Cricetulus griseus: one gene and its partner. The protein of the gene in region 1 interacts with the protein of each later gene in a biochemical or structural test. Links are inferred from orthologs where the notes say so. Each region holds a gene or a part of one and is shown on either strand. Other genes may lie near its edges.

What was found. The genes of interacting proteins can lie anywhere in the genome.
Region 2: of the proteins of Srpk2 (region 1) and Prpf38a, one has a biochemical effect on the other in vitro, tested with the Homo sapiens proteins (2 studies listed by BioGRID and IntAct). The link is inferred for Cricetulus griseus from reciprocal best matches to the Homo sapiens genes SRPK2 and PRPF38A.

What each region holds. Positions count from the first base shown.
Region 1 is NW_023276806.1:171,093,189-171,097,512, reverse strand, and holds part of Srpk2 (SRSF protein kinase 2), read right to left. Parts: intron 3,873-4,324; coding exon 3,772-3,872; intron 3,679-3,771; coding exon 3,571-3,678; intron 1-3,570. UniProt on the Homo sapiens protein: Serine/arginine-rich protein-specific kinase which specifically phosphorylates its substrates at serine residues located in regions rich in arginine/serine dipeptides, known as RS domains and is involved in the phosphorylation of SR splicing factors and the regulation of splicing.
Region 2 is NC_048595.1:41,238,186-41,242,991, forward strand, and holds the start of Prpf38a (pre-mRNA-splicing factor 38A), read left to right. Parts: upstream 1-1,648; 5' UTR 1,649-1,783; coding exon 1,784-1,913; intron 1,914-2,524; coding exon 2,525-2,684; intron 2,685-4,286; coding exon 4,287-4,408; intron 4,409-4,806. UniProt on the Homo sapiens protein: Involved in pre-mRNA splicing as a component of the spliceosome.

The DNA of each region.
Region 1 (4,324 bases):
TTTGCCCAACATTGAGATGGGCAAAGACAGATGTCCTTTAAAAGATGGTTGTTTTGAACAGCACTCAGGTTTCCAATGTAGTGCTTAGAGAAGGCTATCAATGAAATGATTTAAAAAGAAGAAGAAGAAGAAGAGGATGGGGCTGGAGAGATGGCTCAGGGATTAATAGCACTGGCTGCTTAAGAGCAGAGGCCCAGGGTTCAGTTCCCACATGGTAGTCTCACAACTGTCTGTAACTACAGTTCCATAGGATCTGATATTCTCCTCGGGCCTCCATGGAATCCACCTACATGTGGTACACAGATATACATGCAGGCAAAGGACCCAAACACATAAAATAAATCTTTTTTAAAGAGGGAAACAAAAAAAGAGAGAGAATTAGAAAAAGAGAAAGGGAGAATGGCTCCCTGGATAGAAAGAGTGATTAGCTTTCTTAATACAACAGACAACAGGGTAAACACACGTGACAATGAAAACACATGTTTAATGCTAGCAGCTGTGGAAACAGGAAACATTATTGCCACCTACTGACTAAGCTGTTCTCTATGTCAAGTTCTATTGTTTGTATTCAATATTAGGCAACTCTGGAGTCTCTTTCTGTTTCCCTGGGTCCTGTCTGTTGTCAGTTCTGGGGGTGCTTAGAGCTGGAGGCTTTTGTCAGTCCAGTGACTGCGGTGGGAGCTTTCCAAAGGAACAAGCCTGCAAGGTTGTGAGTGAAGTCACTGTTCTTCCTAGAGAACAAGCCATGGAGGAGGAAGCAAATACACGTGACAATAATTTGTCCTAAGTTTTGTTTTGTTTTTTTTTTTTTTCATTCTGCTGATAACCAGGACTCACCAGGGAGACACAAGAGCTCCCTCCCCTATTTGGACAAGGACACCTATGTACAAAGAGGTAACACAGAATTCCTGACCCACGGCCTTCTGTATTGCTGAGGACAAATAGCAATTTGCCTTGCCACAGCCTGAAATGGGAGACACACACTGCCCATTCTGTCAAGGAAGTCATTTCCTTCTGACCTGGCCTCTGCCTCCTGTAATTTTAGCCTCTACTTCCTCTACCCTCAAACTGCAGAACAAAAGCCTCTCCACACAAATCCTCAAAAGGAAGTACCTATCACATGGACGGTAGCTTCTTTCAAACACTAAGAACTTGACTGTAGGTTCTTATTGAAAAACAAAAGTTTTTAATAATTTTACATTTATTTTCTGGAGTTACTAGAACAAGAGTCTAGGAAGGCATGGTGTTTCATGTCTGGCCAGGCCACATCAATAATTTCAGATAGTGATAACTTGAAAGATGAAAAGCATCTCATGTTTCTCACATCACCCTGTATCATCTGCTTAACAAAATGCTTTTACATTGGACTGGAGAGATGGCTCAGCAGTTAAGAGCATGTGCTACTATTGCAGAGGACCCAGGTTCAGCTTCTAGAATAATATAGACACGGCAGCTCAGTGGCAACACCAGTCCCAGGGGATGAGACACCCTCTTTTGACCTCCACAGGCACCAGGCATGCATAATGACACACAGATATGAATATGAATATGAATATGAATAGATAGATAGAGAGGGGGTTTTCAAGGCAGGGTTTCTCTGTGTGGCCTTGGCTGGCCTCGAACTCACAGAGATCTGCCTGTCTTTGCCTCCCAAGTGCTGAGACTAAATGTGTGCATCAACACAACTGGCCAAAAGTTTTTAAATAGTTAAAATGGCTTTATATTAGCACTACTGGACATAAAATACAGAAGATTCAAAACAGTGATTAAATTAAGTTCTGAACAACAGGTAACCATCATATTTATTCTGCTCCCTCCTACCTGCCCTTTCAGAAGGTGAGCACTAAGCCTTGCATACTTGGCTAGTGGGGGTGAACCTCTGGGCTCCATCCCTGGAACTACAAAAAACTTAAGCAATACTATAGGATAGCCATGGCAGCACTGGAAGCTACATGAACACACGCATGCCACCTTTTCTACCAAAGAACAACAAAAGCCCAGTGAGAAGAATGTGCTGAACTGGCTGGATGCTCAGTGAAAGACAAACTGGTATTAGCTCACAGGTGAGGACCTACTCAGGGTCACCAATTCAGATCAGAGCAAATAGCAAACGGTACACAAAAGCCTGGTGCAGTAGCTATGTCGTAACCTCAGCACTCAGGAAACGAGTTTTGAGACCAGTCTGGACTACATTTTAAAAATGGGACAAATAAAAAGAGTTGCGCTGAAGCAATGGCTCAGTTGTTAAAGTGTCTACCATGGAAGCCCATGAGTTTGATCTCCAGAACTTACACACACAAAGGCCAGGCATGGCAGCATGGGCTTGTAAACCAGCATTAGAGAGGTGGAAACAAACAAGCCCTGGTGCTCAGTGCAGCCAGCCTAACCTAACCAAGAGCTCTAGAACAATGAGATAGCTTGTCTCAAGAAAACAAGGTGGATGACTGAAGAGTAACACCCAAGGATGACCTGTCTTTTACACTCACATGCATGCATATGTGCACGCAGCTATATACACATGTGTACTTGTGTGCATGATGTGTGGTGAGTCTGGGTTTAGCTTACAAAGACAAAAATTCAGAATGTTCAAATCAAAGGGATGTTCCTGCTGCCTCCAGGAAAACAACACTGTGTTCCAGGGAAACAGACTCAAACCCAGGAAGTCTGTGCCACCAATGCTGTCTCAGGAAAGCAAGCACATGCCAAAAAAAGGGGCAGAACTCTCTGCATTTGAGTTACAATAAAAGCAACTGTGCACTGGCAGATGGAGAAATCTCAAGACCTCTGGGAGAGGCCACCTTCCAGTGGTACAAACTTTTAAGTACAGTCACCCCACTCGTGTGAGAAGGCATTTGGCTTTACCTCATAGTGTAACAGGGAGCCTGATACACGTGAAAACTTCCAGAAACTAAAAGCAATTCCTCCAATGAAGTCTGATTCTTGGGGCACTGGGCTGCACGGTGCCCAAAGAAGAGACCATCTGTCACAGACTATACCTCTAGCATATCTGAGGAGAATTCTTCCAATGCTTGTAACACCCAAGCACAATCTTCTCCTCCCCCACTTTATAAATCTCCAGCATGATTCCACTCATCAAGAGGATCCACCAGAAGTCATTTCCAGGGAAAGAAGAGTGGCAAGAGTGAAAGGTTCAGGCTTTGATGCTGATTGGCTCTACCTCTTTAAGAGACAGACCCTGACCCCTGAACAGTCAGGGCATGCCCAAGAAAACGTTCTACGTCATCACTACGTCACCTGTCACCCATGACGACTCTGGGCATGCGTGGAACCTAAGTGCGCATGCGCAGTCTTCCCTTTAAAAGTCCCAACTTCCCGCTTCTCTCTCTCTGCTTCCTCTCTACTCTCCTCTGTTTCTTCTTGGCTCTCTCTCACCTATGCACTCTCTCTGCCTCTATGACGACCGGCTATGGCAGTCAACCATTACCCCTGTTCCTCTTCTCCTAGTCTTCCTACTCTGCCAGGCCCATATAATAAACTAGTCAACATGTCTCATCCTTCAGCTTTCTCTTTTCCTCTCTTTAAATAAAAACATAACAAAGGGGTCCTCACCATGCAAGCTGTACTCCAGATGTCTGCAGGTGTGCTGTAGCCAGCTCCGATCAGAACCTCTATGGACCTATACTGCCGAGTCTGGATGTCCTCTGTAAAATGTTTATGCTGGAATGGAATAGAGGTGATACATATTGTTTTAAAAGAAGCATGTTCTCACACAATATCATCATTAAAATGTAAAAAGAAAACTCTACTTACCACCCAACAAGCATTTCCCAGATCAGCAATTTTTACTCTAATTTTATCTGCATTCTGTGGATCCAGAGGGTTCACCAACAGGTCAGCTGCCCGGGTTTTTGCTGCCATGAGCAAACAGCAAGATAGTTAGTAAAGGGGACAAGAGGTTTGCATGTGTGAACACATGTTTGCCAGGTACAGTCTCAGTGTCTCCCCCCCCCCTCTTAAGGAGAGTGACACGATAAGCCTAGAATCCTGCAGGTTGAACCACTGGTGAAACATTAAACCCACATAAAAATAAACATAGGTAACCAACTGGTAGTGAACACTATGTAGTTCACCATTCCCTACTCCAGCTTCCTCAACTGAGCACTCAAACATCAAGGGTTAGATGACAACTGATTAGCAAATTTAGATTATAGGCAGGGGCTAATCTTTTATGGCTTGGTTTTGAATGGGAAGATGAAAAATAGTGTTCTAACAAGTTGAAGAGGGCCAGTGTTAGGTCAGATGCCTCAATTTTAGGACGACACACCCAGAGGGAGTCTCTACAGCAAGCCCAGAGCCAGGGCTG
Region 2 (4,806 bases), on another chromosome or scaffold:
CTAGATTCTAGCTTAATGTCAAGGGCCAATATTGTCATTTTGCAGGTCCTAATTTTGCTTTTTCAATTGGAATGTTGAGGACAAGTGACAGAACTTGGCTTGTTAGAGCACCGGTTGTGATCTTCTATTTGAAAACACTACTTTCTTACATTCAAATATAAAGATCAGCATTTAATTTAAGTACAAATTCGATGTTATGTAATTCACAGTTCAATCCAAAACACTGAACTCAATTTCACAGAATTCAGAAACCTCCAAACATCCAAATATTGTCCTCTAATACAGCTCTTTAAAAAAATTGTAATTCTGGACGGACGGTGGTGGTGCAAGCCATTAATCCCAGCACTCCGGAAGCAGAGGCAGGTGGAGGCCAGCCTGGCCTACAGAGTGAGTTCCAGGTTAGCCATAGTTACACAGTGAAACCCTGTCTCGAAAAACCAAAAAGTAAATCAACAAATAAATACACAGTAATTTTGAAAAAGCCAGGCATGGTGGAACACACCTTTAATCCCAGAGCCCGAGAGGCATACACAGTAATTTTGAAAAAGCCAGGCATGGTGGAACACACCTTTAATCCCAGAGCCCGAGAGGCAGAGGCAGTCTCTGAGTTCGTGGCTAGCCTGGTTCAGAGCGAGATCCAGGACAGCCAAGAAGACAACACAGTGAAATACTGTCTCGGAAAAAAAAAAAAAAAACCCACAGTGCGACTATTCGACTTCTATGGACAAGTAAAATGGCCTGCCTCATCATTGCAGTTTCACTCGTACTAACCCTCAGCAGGCATCTCTCATCTCAAGCCTTAGGACAACCACTTGACAAGGTTACATTCTGTTCTAGGCTAGCCCCTAGAAAGTAGAAAGCGGGCCATTAGACTTTCTCTTTTGTGACTGGCGATGAAAGCCTCCCCCACCCCCCAAGGGCAACCCATTTGGAGAGGATTCCTGAGCAGGCCGGGACGCCAAAGCACAAGAGATAACTTAGAGAAAGTCTCTCTCTGGGCGCAATCGCTAGTTGATAAAGTGGAGAAGAGCATCAGCTTCGCCGTTCCATAGAAAACGTTGCGAGGGTTTTTCAGAGGCAGTGCTTATGAAAAGCCAGAGCCTTAGGCACCCGAGGGCAAGCCACACACACACACTTCTCTGAGGTGGACTTCCGGCTTCCACAGGGCAAACACTCGGTTTCCCGCAGAGCAGGAAGTATTCCAGGACCTTGGTGGAGCCAAGAAGGGTCTGTTTGCTAGCAGAGAACAGTGCCCGCCACTTAATAGGTGCTTGGTGCATGTGTGTGGACCGAAATCATTAAGTCTGTGAAGAACGAGCCGCACTCACCACGCCGAAGCTTGCCAGGTCTGGCCGCTGCCTGGCGCTTTCCACCGCCTCCAGTCCAGGCACTCGGGGAGCTAGCTACACAAGGCTCGCCCGTCCGAGCTGGGGTCCTCCCGGGACAGCCAGCTGCGCTGCGCACCCACCGCACGCGCCAGAGTCGGAATGGAAGGCAGAGCAAAAACTTTTCCCGCCACTAGCCGTAACTCCGCCCACAGCCTGATCCCGATTGGCGTTCTCAACCATGTCGCCACGCCTACCCAGGGCTCATGACGTATTTCCGCCATCGCTGATGCCCGCCCTGCGTAGTTCCGGGGAAGTGTTCAGCGTCGCAGTTTCCGCTTCCAAGCGGGTTGCTTTCAGCTGTTAGAAGGGTTTCCCCAGCCTCTGAAGGTCTTTTTTTAAACCTGGATGTGACGTATTGAAGAAGCCGACGGAAATAGAATCGAAAGCGTTCTAAAATGGCGAACCGTACGGTCAAGGATGCCCACAGCATCCATGGCACCAACCCTCAGTATCTGGTGGAGAAGATCATTCGGACTCGAATCTATGAATCAAAGTACTGGAAAGAGGAATGCTTTGGACTTACGGGTGAGTGACAGAGTGCGGCCCGCGTCTCGGCCTTGCGGCTGGCTTCTTCTAATTCAATGAGGAAGGATAGACCCTCGGGTGTTGGTACTGCAAAAGAGTATGTCAACCATTCACATAAATAGCTGTGTGCCTAGACCCGTACCAGACAGGACACAGACAAAGCTGACAGGGACTCTCTTGATGCTGAAGGGTTTCTTTAGGTTCTTTGAGCCGTTCCAGGCTGGCCTCGAACTCAGAGATCTGCCTGCCTCTGCCTCCCGAGTGCTGGGATTAAAGGCGTGCGCCACCACCGCCCCGCATGTGATGGTATTGACAAGACTTTTTTCTGCACGATTTGTTGGATAAAGATCGAAGACTCATGAGCCACACCCTTCCTTGACGGACTACAAATAATTAATGGGGGCTGGGATAAGGGGTATTTCTTTCTTCAATGGGGTAGCCCCAGGCAGTCATTTTTTATTACTATTGTTAAGAAGCACCTGTTCTCCCAGTATTAATTAAATTCTTGTTGACTATTTAGCAGCTCTAAACATCTGTTTCACCTTCCAACCAAGAAAAGCTAAGACCTTTATTATGTCTAAGATGTCACTATTTGTGTTTGATTATTTCAGCTGAACTTGTAGTCGACAAAGCCATGGAGTTAAGGTTTGTGGGTGGTGTCTATGGTGGAAACATAAAGCCAACTCCTTTCCTGTGTTTAACCTTGAAGATGCTTCAAATTCAACCTGAGAAAGATATCATTGTTGAGTTCATAAAAAATGAAGATTTCAAGTGAGTACAATGTTGACTAGTACAAAAATTTTAGTGGTTCAGAATTTGGCTTTGTTAGTAGGACTGAGTGTTATATGTTTAATTTTCACGGGCTTTTGCCCTTGAATTTTGTATTTTGGCTGTTGTGATTATGTAGACCTTCTACTTTATCAGTCTTGGTAACTTCCCCTTCTCCCAAAAGTATTTCACAAATTAAATAAATTCATGCAAATACCTGTACATGTACAGATACACACTATGTCATCAAAATGATATGTTGGTAGGCAGTAGATATGGGAATCATACAACATAGAATTTTAGTTAACAGGTTAAATCTGTATCTTATCCAGACTTTGCTACCTATTGACTGTGAGCCTCTTTAATTTTTTAAGCATAGCAATGCATGGTAACCATAATAAACTGCTCCATATTTATTATCCATTCTCTAGGCGTTCAGAGTCAGGTAAATAGCTAATTATGTACCATGATGTGTTTAAGGGTTCTACATATAGGGATTCTTTTTTTTTTTTTTTTTTTCACTCCACCAATTTAAAAATATGATACCTGTTTTACTTGTGAAGAAACTGAGACTCCCGGAGAGATTGTCAGTAATTTGCCTAAGGTCAGATGAGTATGTGGCAGGTCTGGGCTGAGATAAAGCTTGGTAGTAGAAGAAATGGTAGTAGAAGAAAAGTTTTATCCCCCATTGTGAATTGGGGAGGCAAAGCTGGCTTCAGAGTACACTTTCTTCCTGTGGGTTTTGTTTTGTTTTTTTAATTGAGATAGTGCCTTACTATGTAGTGCTGGCTGGCCTTGTATTTATGGCAGTTCTCTGTCCTCTGCCTCCTGAGTGCTCAGCCTCAGCTACAACTCATGTCAGAGTACATATTCTCTGTGATAGTGCTCTTCTCATAAGATGGATCTTGGATTTCAGATGGAGATTTGAGTAAGGAATTGAATACATGAAAAAGGAAAAAGAAGGAATATTACCAAAAAAGAAAAAAGAAAAAGGCTAGAAAAATAGCTAATTTTGTATGCTCATGTCCTTCTGACACAGTTTTCTTTGCATTTTTTTATGGCACCAAGGCAGTAAATTAGGTTGCAGCTTTCCATTTTAGAGGTTGAGAAAATAAGCTTCATGTCTGCTATCAAAGTTAGTAATATATGAAGTCAGAATTTTAACCTCTATGACTTTGATCTTTTTCCAGAACCTGTTTGTGGCTATGTATGCTTGTTCTAGCATTGTTGTAAAATGTATATAATGCCTTGTGTTAAATTTATTATCTTTCTGGAACCTTAGGCTAATTCTTTTTTTTTTTTTTTTTTTTTTTTGGTTTTTCAAGATAGGGTTTCTCTGTGGCTTTTGGCTTAGGCTAATTCTGTGAAGTTTTACAGATAATATATTTGAAAGCTCCCCTAGCCAGTAATCCATAGATGAGAAAGTTCATTAGGTCTCCATATTTTAGCCATCATCTGTTCTATGGTACCTTCAATATTATGACTTTCTTACCTGATAATGAGAAGGAAAACAAACTTTTATCTGCTATTGTCATGAGAAAAGCCAGTTATAACACTCAGGAACTCTTAGGATGGCTTGTTGCGTCAATATCTTTTCTCTGTTAGGTATGTCCGCATGTTGGGGGCACTTTACATGAGGCTGACAGGAACTGCAATTGATTGCTACAAGTACTTGGAACCTTTGTACAATGACTATCGAAAAATCAAGAGCCAGAACCGAAATGGGGGTGAGTATGATACCAAGTCTCTAGACTATAATTCCTGGGCCATTTGTATTTCCCCTGTATCTCTACTCATTTTTATATACATTAAATCTTTCTCTTCATCTGCATGATGGCTGTCTTCACCCAAATTTTCCATCTCCCCCACTGGTTGGCCTTAACCCTTTTGGTACATGGCTGCCTCCCTTTCCAGCGGCATTTTATGCTCAACACTGACTTACATCAGATATATCTTCCATACCTGTTCCATCCACAAGATCTGGAAGCTTAAAAATGGTTTCTCTATAAAACCTGAATTAGCCTGCCCCAAGTAATTTTCCAAATATTACAACTTCACATTTTTTTCCCCCTTGCAGGCCACTTATCTACGACTCTATTCCATGCTATACTTTGTAGACTAAGTG